Linked DNA regions of Oryctolagus cuniculus. The main gene of each other region encodes a partner of the protein of the gene in region 2 in a complex. Links are inferred from orthologs where the notes say so. Each region holds a gene or a part of one and is shown on either strand. Other genes may lie near its edges.

Region 1 (3,563 bases), on a different chromosome or scaffold from region 2:
AGTGAACCAGTGGATGGAAAATCTCTCTGCTCTCCCTCTCTTTGTAACTGCCTCTCAAATAAATACATCTTTAAAAAAAAAAAAAAAAGAGCAAATATAATAAAATAATTCCTCAACAATGGAACTACAAAGAGGTTCCTGATAAAGCAAATGGGTGTGCATGATAAAAGAACCCTTCTGTAGAAGAAGATTGTGAGAGATGATTTTGTTTCTTTACTAAAGTAAGAGTTGAGGCAAACACACTTTTATGACCAAAGGGTGCTTTATAGTCCAAGAGCCAAGTCTTTAAAAAAGCTCCAAAGTTGAAACAGGTCAGGTTATTCATAGAAATAATGCTTTAAAAGCCACAAAGCTTCACATTGCTTTAACATTTATTTATTTATTTATTTGAAAGTCAGCATTATAGGGAGAGAAGGAGAGACAGAGACAGATCTTCTATCCACTGTTTCACTCCCCAGATGGCCCCAACAGCCAAGGTTGAGCCAAACTGAAGCTAGGAGCCAGAGAGCTTCACACGGGTTTCCTAAAATCATACGCTATAAACATCCTACAGACTATAGAATAGAGGACAAAATCTATCAATTTTTTTTTTTTCCTAAAGATTCATTTATTTGGAAGTCAGTTACAGAGAGAGGGAGAGATGAGATTGTCCTGGGCCAGCGCCATGGCACAGTAGGTTAATCCTCTGCCTGTGGTGCCAGCAACCCATATGGGCGCTGGTTCTAGTCCCTGCTGCTCCTCTTCCAATCCAGCTCTCTGCCATGCCCTGGGAAAGCAGAAGATGGCCCTAGTTCTTGGGCCCCTGCACCCACATGGGAGACACAGAAGAAGCTCCCGGCTCCTGGCTTCCGATTGGCATAGCTCCGGCTGTTGCGGCCATCTGTGGAATGAACCAACGGAAGAAAGACCTTTCTCTCTGTCTCTCGCTCTCACTGTCTGTAACTCTACCTCTCAAATAAATATATAAAATCTTAAAAAGAAAATAAATATCGTCCATCTGCTGGTTCACTCCTCAAATGGCTGCAACAGCCAGTGACTGAAGCTAGGAGCTTTTTCTGCATCTCCCACATGGGGAGCAGGGGCCAAGCACTTTGGCCATCTTCTGCTGTTTTTCCCAAGCCATTAGCAAGGTTTTGGATCAGATATGGAGCAGCTCGGACTCGAACTAGTGTCCATATGGGATACTGGCATTGCAGGTGGCAGCTTTACCCACTATGCCACAACACTGGCCTCTGTCATTTCAATTCTCATGTTGTCAGAGAATGGTCAGAGTACTACACCCTAACAGTCAATCAATATACAGTTACATCAATAAACTTTGGCTGTAATCTCTTAAATTGGGCCAATTCAAGATAGAAATGTTTAGGTATAAAGGACAGTATTTATGAGCAATAAAAAGTTTCCACAAGCCGGCGCCGCGGCTTACTAGGCTAATCCTCCGCCTAGCGGCGCCAGCACACCGGGTTCTAGTCCCAGTTGGGGCGCCGGATTCTGTCCCGGTTGCCCCTCTTCCAGGCCAGCTCTCTGCTGTGGCCAGGGAGTGCAGTGGAGGATGGCCCAGGTGCTTGGGCCCTGCACCCCATGGGAGACCAGGAGAAGCACCTGGCTCCTGGCTCCTGCCATCGGATTAGCGCGGTGCGCTGGCCGCAGCGCGCCAGCCGCGGCGGCCATTGGAGGGTGAACCAACGGCAAAGGAAGACCTTTCTCTCTGTCTCTCTCTCTCACTGTCCACTCTGCCTGTCAAAAAAAAAAAAAAAAAAAAAAGTTTCCACAAAAGAAAGTTAACCTCATTCTCAGTCCTACAGCTTTTAGAATAAGGACCTTCCTTGCTGAAATTGGTTAGGACAGTACATGGGGCATAATACTGCCATTACTGAAAGCTAAAACATGTAAACATTCTGTGATAAAATGTCTTACTGGCCCTTCGCAAGAGAAAAAGAAACAAAGTGCTGACATATGGTCCAACACAGATGAGCTTTGAGACAATATGCTAACTGACAGAAGCCAGCCACAAAGGACCACATATTCTATGAGTCCTCTTATAGGAAATGTCCACAGAAACAGAAAGTAGAGGCCTGACGTTGGCTAGGGCTGGTAAGTGTTGGCATGGCATGCCTTATGGAAGTGAGGGGACTACTAATAGGTACAAGATTTCTTTCTTTTAGGTAGTAAAAATGTTCTCAAATTGACCATGGTAATGGTTGAACAATTCTGTAAAAACATCAAAACCACTGAGTTGTACAACTTGATTGGATGAACTGAGTGATACGTGAAACTCAGAAACACCATCTTAACAAAGTCAATGCGTGTGATCCCAGGACAATGTCAAGTTATGTGGTAAGTGTTCAGAAAATATCAGTTATTATTTAAGCAATAATAGACCACGGTTTCAATGACAGACTAAGAACTTTCTCAATGGAAACAGAGTAAGAATGATTTATTTTATACACATTAAAAAAGTACTCACACATCAAGATCACCTAGATAGCAGGACAGAACTTTCTGGAAATTATGAGAATATACTACATCTTAATTGGGATATGAGTTACATGGGTATGCATGTCTGGCAAAACTCTTTCACCAATATTCTTAAAATCCATGCATTTCCATGTATGTAAAATAACCTCAATAAGAAACAAATAAAAGCCTGAATATTCTATCCAGCTGTCCTCTTCTTCTTGATGATAAAAAACAAAGGCCAGTTTGAAAAGTTGGACTTTGTGCCATTCTTTAACAATAAAGGCTTTGAGTCTCTATCATTCTTTAAAAAAAAAAATAGCAAATTAAAAACACCTAGGTGGCTTAACGAAAACGAAATTAAAATCTTTTCCAAGTTTCTTTTAATACTTAGATTTCAAGTAAAAATATTTTGCCATTTAAAAAGCTGCTTTGAGGATCTAGTTTGTCCTGAAAACATAAACATAAAGAGAAAGAAATTTCAATCAAACCTTTAATGCTATAGGATCAAGATTGAAATCCCAGACGTCTCCAATAGAATCATCAAGCGCATCCTCGATTCTTCTCAGTTGAGACGTATACTCCTCGAGAAATTTCCCGTAATTCTTAAGCTGGACTTCAGCATGAATTTCTAAATTTAAATGTTAAAACGGTATGTGGTAAGTTCAAGAAATGAGTTACAGAGCATTTACTTCAAATAATCTCAAAAGTCACAACAAAGCATTGTTAATTATTACTTTGGAAGGTAGGAACTTCTGAAAAACTTCAAAGTTAAACAATAATGCAGTGTTCCATCTTCTCCAAATACATTAAATAATTTTAAAAGCAGTAGCCCATACAACCCATTACCATGTAACTGTCTGGACAATGCCTTAGACAACGTAATGTCTCTATGTTCTAGTTCTAAATGACTTTATTACCCTCCCCCCCAAAAATACGCAGGTGTAAAAATCTGTGTTGTCACAGAACTAGTACTTTAAAATGTTGCTTCTATACACAGTAAACTGCTTCAATAAACTAACCTTTGTTAAAATGGAGGTTTCAGATCTTCAGCATAACAATAATCACTCCCATAATGCCTATATTTACCAACATATTTATTTAAT
Region 2 (3,563 bases):
AATTCAGGCATAGATTTGGTGGCTAGAAGATAATTATCAGTTGGTTTTGCTTCTCTTTAAAGAATGATATTCTGTATATATTTGTGACTTACAAGGAAAAAAATGACGCTAAGTTTGACATTCTTGAATTTCCGTTTTAAATGGTCACCATTACTCACCAGAAGTTGCTTTCCATCTTCATTGAGAAGCACAGTTTCTATTGTCTGCTGAATATAGACCCCTTCATTGAGGTCATCTAGATATCTGCGAACGAAGCCCCAGAGCAAGTTATTTGTTTTAACAGAAACTTGAACATCTTGAAGAAAGAACAACTTTTAAAAAACAAGACAGGATACCAGATATTCTGGCCTTCGACAAGTTTGTGGTGTTTCATGCTCTTAAAAAATAGCATTATAAGCCATAATTCATAGTGATTTAGGGCCACAGGTTGATATTTATGCATGTTCCAAGTAAAAGGTCCTGATTTATGAATTCCAAGTATCTTAGGAATAATGACATAACAGCTTGGAATAGTTATTTAAAAGCTAATGATAATGAATTATTAAGAACTGCAGAAGACACAAAGCTAACTAAAAGACTAAGTTCCTTTCCTTCCCCTCCCCAAATGTCTCATCTATATATAATATGCTGGAATATGCTACTGAACTATAGGACTGCAACCTATATACTAAGTTTATTATGATACTTCACAGGAACAGGCATTATAAGATTCAAAAGTATTAAAGATGACTACTGCTACAAGAAAGAAAAGGCAATTGCAAATAGCAAATCTGGTAGTAACAAAAAGATGTACTTTCTACTGTGACCCTTCTCCCTCTTCACTGTTTACTATTAGAATAGGCTGTTACTAAGTTCATCAATACCTGTTTAAGTCTACAATATATTTATGCACACTTTGAAACGCTAAATAAAATCTGGTCACAATTTCTATGTTGTTTTCACGAAATTCTTCATCTAAATCCTGTAGCTCTGGTTTAGCTTCCAGTTTGCTTTCCCATAACTCTGGACCCTACGAAGAAAAACACATTTACATGAAATGTCAACAAAAGCATATGTGTTGGCAACAATTTCTTAGTAGTCTTTTGAAAAATTTGTCCTTATGTTCCTCAATATCAAAAACTTAAAGCAGAGAAACAGAAAGTCATGAAGATAACAGAAGCCTAGATATAAAATGCCTTTGACAGTAATGAAGTTGAATTGTAACCAAGACAGGCATGCTTTGAAGAGCAGAACAGTCAACGTGAAATACAGAACAGCAAACTTTTCTTTTTAAAATTTGATTATATCATGGGAAGACTTCCATGCAGTACTGTCATCTGATTTTCAAGTTAATAGGTGAGGGGCCGGCACTGGGACATAGCAGGTAAAGCTGCTTCCTGTAGTGCCGGCATCCCATAAGGGCGCCAGTTCAAGTCCCAGCTGCTCCACTTCCAATCCAGCTCTCTGCTATGGCCTGGGAAAGCAGTGGAGGGTGGCCCAAGTCCTTGGACCCCTGCATCTACATGGGACGCTCAGAAGCTCCTGGCTTCAGATCGGCCCAGCTCCAGCCACTGCGGCCATTTGGGGAGTGAACCAACGGATGGCAGACCCCTCTCTTTCTCTCTGTAACTCTGCCTTTCAAATAAATAAATATATAAACAAACAAATGAATAGCTAAATCTTAACAAAAAAAATAGCTGGTGCCACATTTGGTTCAAAAGTTTTGCTCTGTAAATCTCTCTATAATTACCTAACCTCTTAGAGTCTCATGGTTCCAAGGAAAACATGCTTGTATAGAAAAGATAGCAACAAAAATGCTACAGAAAGAGATTACCTTAAAATAGCTGAAATCAAATATGATATCTCCATATTTCTGTTGATCAACTCGGTCTTTTAACCTGAACACAGCAGGAATGAACTCCGACAGCCTCAAGAGTTCAGCAATGATGGCATTGCCGCAGGAAACAATCCTCAGGATGGCCTGGCCACAGAGGTTGTTCTCGGCTAGAAAGTCCAGCATGGTAACAGGGGTCGAGTACGCTGTCCGGACGATGAGAACAATGAGCTTGCTTCAGAGCCAGAGTCTGTAGATCAATAGATGAAACCAGGTCTGTGGATCGACCAGCTGCTCCATGAAACGACCTACATCTAAGAAATTTTAAAAAGGTATAAAAGTTTCCATGTCAAAGGACGTACCTGCATATAAACATGGCATCGTATTTTCCCTCAATCCCCCTCAAAAATTCAACTCCCCTAAAGGCTTATAATGAGTTCTGATACGGGGAGAAGGGCAAATGTTATTGACTGTTTATGTGGAGGGACTTCAACAGATTAACATTCTTGACATCTTTCTCAATCTTTTATTCACTTCTCATAAAGAAAGACAAAATTGTTCATTTTTGAGCTAGGGCAAAGGAATACATATGCAGTTCCAATGCACTCTAATTGCAGAAGCAAATCTATGATTGAATATAATAGCCAATCATTGTAAACACTACCAACAGAGCTGACATATCTCTACACATATCTTGAGGTATCTGCCCCAAGTATTTCCTAGAAATGGAATTGCAGGGCTAAGGTACAGCATGTCCAAGACTGCTTTTAAAATTACAGATGCCAGAGGCAGGCACTGTGGTACAGTGGGTTAAGTCACTGCTTGGTATGCTGCCTCCTGTATCAGAGAGCTGCTTTAAACTGGTTCCTCTGCTGACACCCCCGGGAGGCAGCAGATGAAGGCCTAAGTACTTGAGTCCCTATCACCCACATGGCAGACCCAGATGGAGTTCCTGGCTCCTGGCTCCAGCCTGGACCAGACCAGGTTGTTGCGGGCTTTTCAGGGAGTGAATCAGGGATACAAGATCTCTTTCCCTCTCTTTTCCCGCCTTTCTCTGTCACTCTACCTTTCAAACAAATAAATCAAAGAAAAGAAGAGAAAAAGAAAAGGAGAAACAAACATTAGAGCTACATTCTACAAAATTCTGGAAAGATGATTTATAAATAGTAAATTAAAAAGGTCCCAAATCTCACATAACTCAGCACACAGGTGTCTAGTTCTGTTAGCACAATTATTTTATTTCTCCTTTATCTAACGCACTGAGGATGGTCAGATCACTTAGTGCACTAAATAATTACTGGCAACAGGTCATTATTGAAGGCAACGGTTGCTATGCTTTACCTTGCCACTCCTTGCTGAGCACCTGTTTGCCAAGCTGGATATGAAACTGTTTAAGCAACTCACTTTTTTTTTAAAGATTTTTATTTATTTGAGAGGTAGAGTTACAGACAGTAAGTGAGTGAGTGAGAGAGAGAGAGATTTTCCTTCCGTTGGTTCACTCCCCAAGTGGCCGCAATGGCCAGAGCTATGCCGATCCAAAGCCAGGAGCCAGGTGCTTCCTCCTGGTCTCCCACGCGGGTGCAGGGCCCAAGCACTTGGGCCATCCTCCACTGCCTTCCCGGGCCACAGCAGAGAGCTGGACTAGAACTGGTGCCGCAGGCGGAGGATTAACCAAGTGAGCCACGGCGCTGGCCCTGCAACTCACTTTCTAGTGCAGAGGTTCTCAAGTCTGACTGCACAGCACAATCAC
Region 3 (4,048 bases), on a different chromosome or scaffold from region 2:
ATATTATACTCATGAAAATTGCTGAGTAGATTTTAAAGTGTTCTCACCAAAAGAAAGGATAAGTGTGTGAGGTAATACATACATACATAGACAGTTTGATTTAGCCATCCCATGATGTATACAAATACCAAAACCTCATGTACACCATAAGAACATATAACTTTTGTCAATTAAAATAATATTATCTTCCCCCTTAAGATAAAAAAAAAAGGAGAAGAGGCAATGGACTACCTTTAAACTACATGAGCTTTTGGTCAACAGACTTTTCTCTAGAGTTTCAGGAAGTATTAAGAAATGGGATACCACTAGAACAGTTGCAAGAGAAGTTGAAAGAGGAACAGAAAGAGTGACTCACAAGGCTCTCATCAATGAGATTCTTGTTCACTTTGTCAGAGACTCATTCCGCAGGAACTGAAAACTGGTAGGGGTGATCCCTGCCTTAGGGCAACACAATCAAGTTGCTTTCATAGGTGTGTTGCTTGTTTTGCTTTTTTTTTTTTTTTTTTTTTTTTTTTTTTTTTTTTTTTTGACAGGCAGAGTGGACAGTGAGAGAGAGAGAGACAGAGAGAAAGGTCTTCCTTTGCCGTTGGTTCAACCTCCAATGGCTGCTGCGGCCGGCGCACTGCGCTGATCTGATGGCAGGAGCCAGGTACTTCTCCTGGTCTCCCATGGGGTGCAGGGCCCAAGCACTTGGGCCATCCTCCACTGCACTCCCTGGCCACAATAGAGAGCTGGCCTGGAAGAGGGGCAACCGGGACAGAATATGGTGCCCCGACTGGGACTAGAACCCGGTGTGCTGGCGCTGCAAGGCAGAGGATTAGCCAATTGAGCCGTGGCACCTGCCTTGCTTTTCTTTTTTAACCAGGACTACAGGGATGGAGCATTTGTTCCTCTCTGCTAACAGTCCTGAGATGGTTTCTGGGCCTATTAATACAAAATGCAGTGAATTGAATGCCTTTCTTTATCGATTATCTATTTCATTTTCTTTTGTCTTAATGGGAAAGCAGAAAACATTTTGATAACTAGTGGCTAGCATTGTCAAACAGCAGGTTAAGCCTCTCCTTGGGATGCTGGCATCCTATATTGAAAGCCAGGTTGAGTCCTGACCCCTGCACTTCCCATCTAGTTTCCTGGTAATGCTCCTGGGAAGGCAGCAGAAGATGGCCCAAGTACTTGGGCCCCTGCACCCATGTGGGAGACCCGGATGGAGCTCCTGGCTTCAGCCTGGCCCAGACCTGACTGTTGTGGCCATTTGGGGAGTGAACCAGCAGATGGAAGACCTCTCTCCTCCTCTGTCTCTCCTTCACTCTTTGCCACTCTGCCTTGCAAATAAATAAATAAATAAATAAATAATCTTAAAACAGTTTTCCTGTCTCCATGCAGCTTTTATTAATAAAAATGCAGCTATCACAAATTCTATTTTGGTAAACCTTTACGTTTTTTATAAGACAGAATGTTCAACTGACTCACTTGTGAATTATCTAAGTACTATGATTTAGTTTTCTTTTTCTTTTCTTAAACTCAATTTCAAACCATGTTTCACGTGTTCCTCCCCATGTTTTTTAGTTTTTTTAAAAGACAGCTGTAACTGGGTACTGAATCTTCACTTCTCAAGTCATTTGCAGAAAATGTTTTTACTCCTAAAATGAGATTTGACACCAAAGTTATGTTTCTGGGCTACCACCCCTTAGCCATCTTTTGGATGAAGGAATGTAAAATAATTTTATTATAAACAGAAACAATGTGTACTCTCAAATATAAATCTTTGGGTAGGAGAACAAATAGCTTTGCAAATAAAAGATGGGGATTCTCTTTTGTTCTGTTTAATTTCACTAAGCTGGATTTAACTCTCACTCAGAGGTCTCTGGATCCCAAGCTCAGCAGAGGTAGGTACAGGACTGAGCCTAACAGAATCAAAGAGGATTTGCTGTGTGATGGGAGGTCACAGTAGATGAATGCAGAGACTGTAGCTCGTGTTTTCCTCCATTTGTCAACCGCAGAAGGGCAAAGAGACGGCTACACTATGCCACAACCCAGTATCACAAGACCTACCTCCTCACACACTGTCGAAAAGCGGTTGAGGAACTGTACAGTGTGCACCACAAACTGGTTAAGAAATGCCACCGTTCTTTTCTGTTGAATAGCTGGCACCTGTGTTACGTAAAAACAAACATGATTTGGCAGGAGGAACGTAGATCGCCCAATCCCTTCAGACATCATAGCGGAACATTTTGCCGTGTGATATGAATTTCTTGGACTACGAATAGTCATTAGCTTGTTTTCCCAAACTGTGGGTGGGGTGTCACCTGCAGAAACATTTTTACAACGCGCCCTAGATTCACGAGCACGGATTTTTAGCAGGTTAAACCAACATATATAAATACACAAAACCTGGGATTAGATAAAAGAGAGGTTAAAGGTCGCAACCAGTCTGTCTCCGGCGGGCAATGACACAGGAAGTGAGAGCTCACAGAGGACCCTCATCAACTAAGTCAACTCGAGAGGGTCCCTCTTCAAGGAAAGTGATTGTGGCACTCAGCCTCCTAAGTCAGCCGAACAGGGGCCCAGGGCCAAGATAGGGCCTGGAGAAGTGGGGTCTCCCGGGGAACCGGACGTCCCTTCCCCAGCCCCCTCCTCCCCAGTCACCGGAAGTTCATCTCGGTCTTCTACAAACCTTGGTCAGGTCTATGCCCGACCCCATGAGTGGAAGCCCATCCTCATCCATCTCCTCGGCGGGCGGGAGGACCCAGGCTCACCCACACACCCCTCCCAGAAGGGCCCCGCCCAACCCGGTAATCGCGTCGCAACACCTCCTCAAGTCCCCGCCTCCGTGGCCCTTCCCACCGGAAGGAAACCCCTCCGCTCGCCAATCACAACCTCGGCTCACGGAAAGCCCGCCCACTTTCGCTCGGCATTCTGGGGCGGGTAGTTCTTGGTCTGGATTGTGACGTTGGTCGGGGACTCGGGCTGCAGCCTTTCTAGCAGTTAACTTCTTGAATGTTGGGGTGAGGGGTGGGGACGGGGCAAGCGTGGAAAGTACGATCAAGAATTGGCCCGTTTGAAATGATCCCTACTTAGCTCTGTCTGTTGTATAAACAGTGTCATTGGTTGAACAATTTTTTTTTTTTTTTTTTAATCCTACTACGCGCTAGGCCTGCGCGGAATACAAAGATTGAGTCAGCTTGAGTCAGCACACTGAGGAGGCTCCTGCTCTGGAGGAGGTAAGACCTGTCTCCAAAGACATTTAACACTGTGATAAAACCATGGCAAACGCTGCCGGTGAGGCGTAAAATATGCAGGGTGCTCACCCTGTAGCAGTGTCGTCAGAAACGCGCTCACAGTGTTCCGGAAAGACCTTGCACCTGGAATTTGAATATCTTGGCCCAGATTTTGACCATGCAAAACGATTTTCCAGCTCTGCAACGTGGGGCAAGTCACGTAACCAGAATTTGGAACCCAGTCAAGGTGGTCCCTACCGAGAGACGAAGACTTCAAGAACTGTATATGGTGTAGGGAAGACACACATAGCAGAGTTAGACGTGCAAGCAAAATACTGTGAAAGTTGTGGGTGAGCAGAGAGGCACACGCAAACACTTGTGTACACCTGCATCCTCTCGGAAACAAAGTGCTGTGGTGCTACAGGGGAAAGGTGCTCCTGGGTCCTCTGAGAACATTGGCCACGGCAGCTGTTCAGCACCCATGTCACATTAGGAGATGGTAGGCAGTTTGTGGTAGACCTTCGGACAAAGGCAGAGAGGTGTGAGGGGGTTTGGTACATAAAGGAAATGCAAAATTTTTGCTTTTGTGGAAGCAGAAAGTCCCAGAAGTGGAAAAAAGTAAGAAATGAGGTGGGAAAAAAGGAGAATCTCAGTGAAGGCCAATTTTTATACTATGATCTGTGTTGCTCTAAGTGTCTTAGAGATTTCCTGCTTTAATTATTTAGGAGTGGGTGGTACTTCTGAAAATGTACATTCCAGCAATTGATTAACCCCAGATAAACTACATCAAGACTTATGCTGAATGAGTCCAGAAATTTGCATTTTAACTT
Region 4 (4,335 bases), on a different chromosome or scaffold from region 2:
CTGCACAGGGCCTCATTCACCGCTGTACTTGAAGACAGGAGCATAGTGCCTCGCACACCAGCTCTGAGCAAGTGTTTGCTGGCTGCAGGACTAAGTGCAGGAACAGGGCCCCTTGATGGAAGTCAGCACGAGATGGATGGGAAGGCAGTGCCACCACTGGGACCCATGGGACACATGCGGGACAGTAGGCAGGGAGCTCTCAGGCACTTCTGAGAAAGAGCTTCCAGGCCGAGCTCCTGCCTTGGGCGACTCCTGCACAGGGAACACAGCTGGGCCCCGGGTCCAAGAATCACCATAGGAGCTGTTGCCAGAAGGTGCGTTCTTGGGCCTGGGTACGGGACTGCTCAGGACGGTGGGCAGCACCCACCTGCTAAAGATATCACCAGAGACCTTCTGCAGGTACTGCAGGGCGTCCGCCACCTGCTGGATGGCCTCCTCGCGCCGCAGGTCCGGCTGGATGAGGGCCACTGCGTAGGTCTGGCCGGCCAGGCTGGGCTGCGTCCTCATGGGAGTCATGGTGCCTGTGGGCAGGAACTGGAGCGTGAGCACCTCCCCACACCCGCCCACAGGTGGTGTCGGGGTGAGATCCCAGCCATCACTCCAGCCGCCCTTCTGGGGTGCAGGAAGTTAGGAAAAGCCTCTTCGCAGATTCTGGGGCTCTCTGCGGGCCCAGGAGAGGGTGCAGAGGGGCTCCTAGGCAGAACGAGCAGCCTGAACAAAGACCTAAGCATCCTTGGAGAAGCAGCAGGACAAAGATCAGAGAGAGACCAGACTGCAGAACACTCAGGGCTGGGAGTCTGGCCGCGAGCCAGGAATGACACCCCTGGACCTGCTCTGTCCAAAACGGTAACCACCGGCCACATGCAGCTGCCGACCACGTGGGATGTGATTAGCTGAGCTCTGCTTCAAGTATAAAACCACGAATGTCAAAGATCCAGTGGGAAACAAAATACTGCATTAACAACTTCTGTACCAAGCTGGCGCCGCGGCTCACTAGGCTAATCCTCTGCCTTGCGGTGCCAGCACACCGGGTTCTAGTCCCGGTCGGGGCACCGGATTCTGTCCTGGTTGCCCCTCTTCCAGGCCAGCTCTCTGCTGTGGCCAGGGAGTGCAGTGGAGGATGGCCCAAGTCCTTGGGCCCTGCACCTATGGGAGACCAGGAGAAGTACCTGGCTCCTGCCATCAGATCAGTGCGGTGCGCCGGCCATGGCGGCCATTGGAGGACCTTTCTCTCTGTCTCTCTCTCTCTCACTGTCCACTCTGCCTGTCAAAAACAAAACAAAACAAAAACAAACTTCTGTACTGGTTACCTGCTGAAATTGACCACTTTGGATACATTAGGTTAAATAAAATATATTACTAATTTCACATGGTTTGCATTAACTTTTTATTTATGTGACAGGCAGAGACAGTTGAGACAACTGGAAACAAGCGCCCATCCACTGGTTCACGTCCCTCAAAACCCACACCAGCTTGTGGCTGAATCTGGTGCCTGGGAACTCCATGCAGGTCTCCCACGCAGGTGGCAGGAACCCAGTTCCTGGAGCAGTCACTGGTGCCTCCCAGAGCCTGCATCAGCAGGAAGCTGGCAGCAGGATCCCAACGAGGAATCAAGCCCAGGAGCTCTTGGTTAAGGGACGTGAGCTTCTTATCTGCCAGGCCAAATACCTGCCTCTCTTCTTTTAGAATCACGTGGCTCGCAGTTTTTCGTTAGTCTAGGTAGGAAATGAGCCTCTGTTCCTCTTTCCTTGCACGTTACCCTAACCATCAAGACTAATCTTAACATTTTACGGCCCCTTTCTTCTGCTATGTACCTTCACAACAAACCCCCTGTCATCTTCTATTTCTGCATCTAAGCACCAAGCCGGTAAACCAATCAATCACCTCTCTTGCCTGCGGGGCTCATCGCAAAAGCATCCTGGGTAACCTCTTCCCCAGACCCAATCGACAGCTGAGGAGACACAGGGGGATTTAAGATTCCTCAGGAGTCGTCTTCCACAGAGGAGGTTTGCAGCCAGAAATCCTAACTACTCAGTTCCAAAACCCATGACTGTCACCCCCGGTTCTTACATACTTTCTGGTTATCTGTTTTTCTATTATTTTTTAATGCATGGCACAAACACATTAATAATCCTTAAAAACGGTGTTTTTCTTGCGTCTAGGCCATGCTCAATATTTTTTTTTTCCAGATTTTAAAAACTCTGCCACGACCGTTAGGTATTTATCGTGAACTGCACCACGCTCGTTCTCCCCCGCCCCTTACAGCACCGTCTCGGAGACTCTCGCCCCGGCGTGCACACGCACCGCACCCCTGTCTCCGTGGGGTCCCTGGGGTCCGCGCCTCGGCTTCCAAACCTGCGCTGCGGGCCGTCAGGCCCCAACTGCGGCGGCAGAGCGCGGGGTCACCGCACCTCGGGCACCGGCCAGGCCCCCGCGGGTGCCCGGTGCAGGCGGGAGCCCTCGCCCCAGGGATCCCCGGCCCAGCGCCGAGGCCCTGGCCGGAACCGCGACTCCCGGCAGTCCGTAAGTCCGGGGGGCCCGCCGGGGCCCGCCGGAGACTCCTAAGGGCAGCCGCGCGCGAGGGCAGAGGTCGCGGGCCGCCCGAGGCATGGCCGCTTCCGGGGTCCGGGCTGTCTCCTGGGCCGGCGCCACCCCCGCCGCCCCCGCCCCAGTTCTCTGCACCCCTTACCCGCCTCGTCGCCCTGGACGCGGGGCCGCGCTCCCCCTCCGGCCACGCCCACGTGCGCGCGGCCCAGGGGGCCGGCTCCTCCCCCCGCGCCCCGCCGCGCGTCTGCGCGCTCCCGCCGCGGCGCCGCCGGGTCCTAGCACCGCCCTGCCTCTGCGCCTGCGCAGGTCGCCCGTGGGCTGGCGGAACTGTGCGAGGCCGGCGCCGGGTCCACCTGCGCGGCGGGCGGCGGAGTCTCCCGTGTCCCGAGCGTCAGGGGGTGTGTGCGTGTGCACGCGCCCTGGGGCAGCACACCCAGCCCGGGTCCCGGAGCCGCTGCTCCTCTCCGGCTGCCCTACGAAACCGCTCTAACAAATCTTTTAGCCTACGCTGATTTTCTTGTCCTTACCTGCGTGGGAGTTTGCCCCCGGCCCACATTCAGAGTTTACATCCTTTACGCATTATAGGAAAAGCAGTGACTATAGTTACTATAAGGCAAATTCATCCTTCCCTAATAGTTTTATCTGACAGATTATTTGTAAATATTTATAATTAAAGCTCTCTTTAAAAATAATACAAGTTTCAATTAAAAATGTATGAATTCTTTCCTTTTTATACAGATTCAATAGTATTTTCAAGCAAACAGATTTTTTTTTTTTTGGACAGGCAGAGTGGATAGCGAGAGAGAGATGTGGGGAGCAACTCGGACTATACTGTTACTGGAATTAAGACTTATTCTATGCATCTGCTCTCCCACAATATGGCGCTAGGAGAGGAGTAAACAGCTTCTACCCAGCTACCTCTCACCAACTTGACAAGCTGCAGGAGCTGCTCCTGATTGGAGGAGAGCGGCGTGCTCGACGTGTGGGCAGCCGAGTTGGGATTGGCGGAGGAGGACTATATAGGAGGAGAGAGACGGCATAGTGGTGTGGGTTGGTTGGAGAGTGCGTTGGAGAGTTCGCGGGGAAGTTCGTTACTTCGTTCTTTCTCATTTCTCTCTACTCATTCTCGCTTTGGGAGTTTGCTGTTTACTTATTCTTACTTTAGAAAGGACTTGTAAAAAAAAGGGAACAACAAGCGCCCGGTCCGGTGCGGCTCCTCCGCGTGCGGAGGAGCAGCAAGAGAGACAGAGAGAAAGGTCTTCCTTTGCCGTTGGTTCACTCTTCAATGGCCGCCGCGGCCGGCCAGCGCACTGCGCTGATCCGATGGCAGAAGCCAGGAGCCAGGTGCTTTTCCTGGTCTCCCATGGGGTGCAGGGCCCAAGCACCTGGGCCATCCTCCACTGCACTCCCTGGCCACAGCAGAGAGCTGGCCTGGAAGAGGGGCAGCCGGGACAGAATCCGGCGCCCCAACCAGGACTAGAACACGGTGTGCCGGCGCCGCTAGGCGGAGGATTAGCCTAGTGAGCCGCGGCGCCGGCAAGCAAACAGACTTTAAAACAGGTTGCATAGCCGGCGCCGCGGCTCACTAGGCTAATCCTCCGCCTTGCGGCGCCGGCACACCGGGTTCTAGTCCTGGTTGGGGCGCCGGATTCTGTCCCGGCTGCCCCTCTTCCAGGCCAGCTCTCTGCTGTGGCCAGGGAGTGCAGTGGAGGATGGCCCAGGTGCTTGGGCCCTGCACCCCATGGGAGACCAGGATAAGTACCTGGCTCCTGCCATTGGATCAGTGCG

The links.
Region 1: WASHC5 (region 2) and WASHC4 share a complex: the UniProt entries of both Homo sapiens proteins name them as parts of the WASH core complex. The link is inferred for Oryctolagus cuniculus from reciprocal best matches to the Homo sapiens genes WASHC5 and WASHC4.
Region 3: WASHC5 (region 2) and WASHC3 share a complex: the UniProt entries of both Homo sapiens proteins name them as parts of the WASH core complex. The link is inferred for Oryctolagus cuniculus from reciprocal best matches to the Homo sapiens genes WASHC5 and WASHC3.
Region 4: WASHC5 (region 2) and WASHC1 share a complex: the UniProt entries of both Homo sapiens proteins name them as parts of the WASH core complex. The link is inferred for Oryctolagus cuniculus from reciprocal best matches to the Homo sapiens genes WASHC5 and WASHC1.

The regions. Positions count from the first base shown.
Region 1 is NC_091442.1:107,790,698-107,794,260, reverse strand, and holds part of WASHC4 (WASH complex subunit 4), read right to left. Parts: intron 3,089-3,563; coding exon 2,949-3,088; intron 1-2,948. UniProt on the Homo sapiens protein: Acts as a component of the WASH core complex that functions as a nucleation-promoting factor (NPF) at the surface of endosomes, where it recruits and activates the Arp2/3 complex to induce actin polymerization, playing a key role in the fission of tubules that serve as transport intermediates during endosome sorting.
Region 2 is NC_091437.1:150,727,823-150,731,385, forward strand, and holds part of WASHC5 (WASH complex subunit 5), read right to left. Parts: intron 2,128-3,563; 5' UTR 2,000-2,127; coding exon 1,814-1,999; intron 1,010-1,813; coding exon 864-1,009; intron 244-863; coding exon 159-243; intron 1-158. UniProt on the Homo sapiens protein: Acts as a component of the WASH core complex that functions as a nucleation-promoting factor (NPF) at the surface of endosomes, where it recruits and activates the Arp2/3 complex to induce actin polymerization, playing a key role in the fission of tubules that serve as transport intermediates during endosome sorting.
Region 3 is NC_091442.1:105,008,129-105,012,176, forward strand, and holds the start of WASHC3 (WASH complex subunit 3), read right to left. Parts: upstream 2,846-4,048; 5' UTR 2,726-2,845; coding exon 2,675-2,725; intron 2,152-2,674; coding exon 2,053-2,151; intron 1-2,052. UniProt on the Homo sapiens protein: Acts as a component of the WASH core complex that functions as a nucleation-promoting factor (NPF) at the surface of endosomes, where it recruits and activates the Arp2/3 complex to induce actin polymerization, playing a key role in the fission of tubules that serve as transport intermediates during endosome sorting.
Region 4 is NC_091440.1:106,635,198-106,639,532, forward strand, and holds the start of WASHC1 (WASH complex subunit 1), read right to left. Parts: upstream 2,821-4,335; 5' UTR 2,690-2,820; intron 2,489-2,689; exon of another isoform or gene 2,356-2,488; intron 1,192-2,355; exon of another isoform or gene 1,170-1,191; intron 522-1,169; 5' UTR 517-521; coding exon 368-516; intron 1-367. UniProt on the Homo sapiens protein: Acts as a component of the WASH core complex that functions as a nucleation-promoting factor (NPF) at the surface of endosomes, where it recruits and activates the Arp2/3 complex to induce actin polymerization, playing a key role in the fission of tubules that serve as transport intermediates during endosome sorting.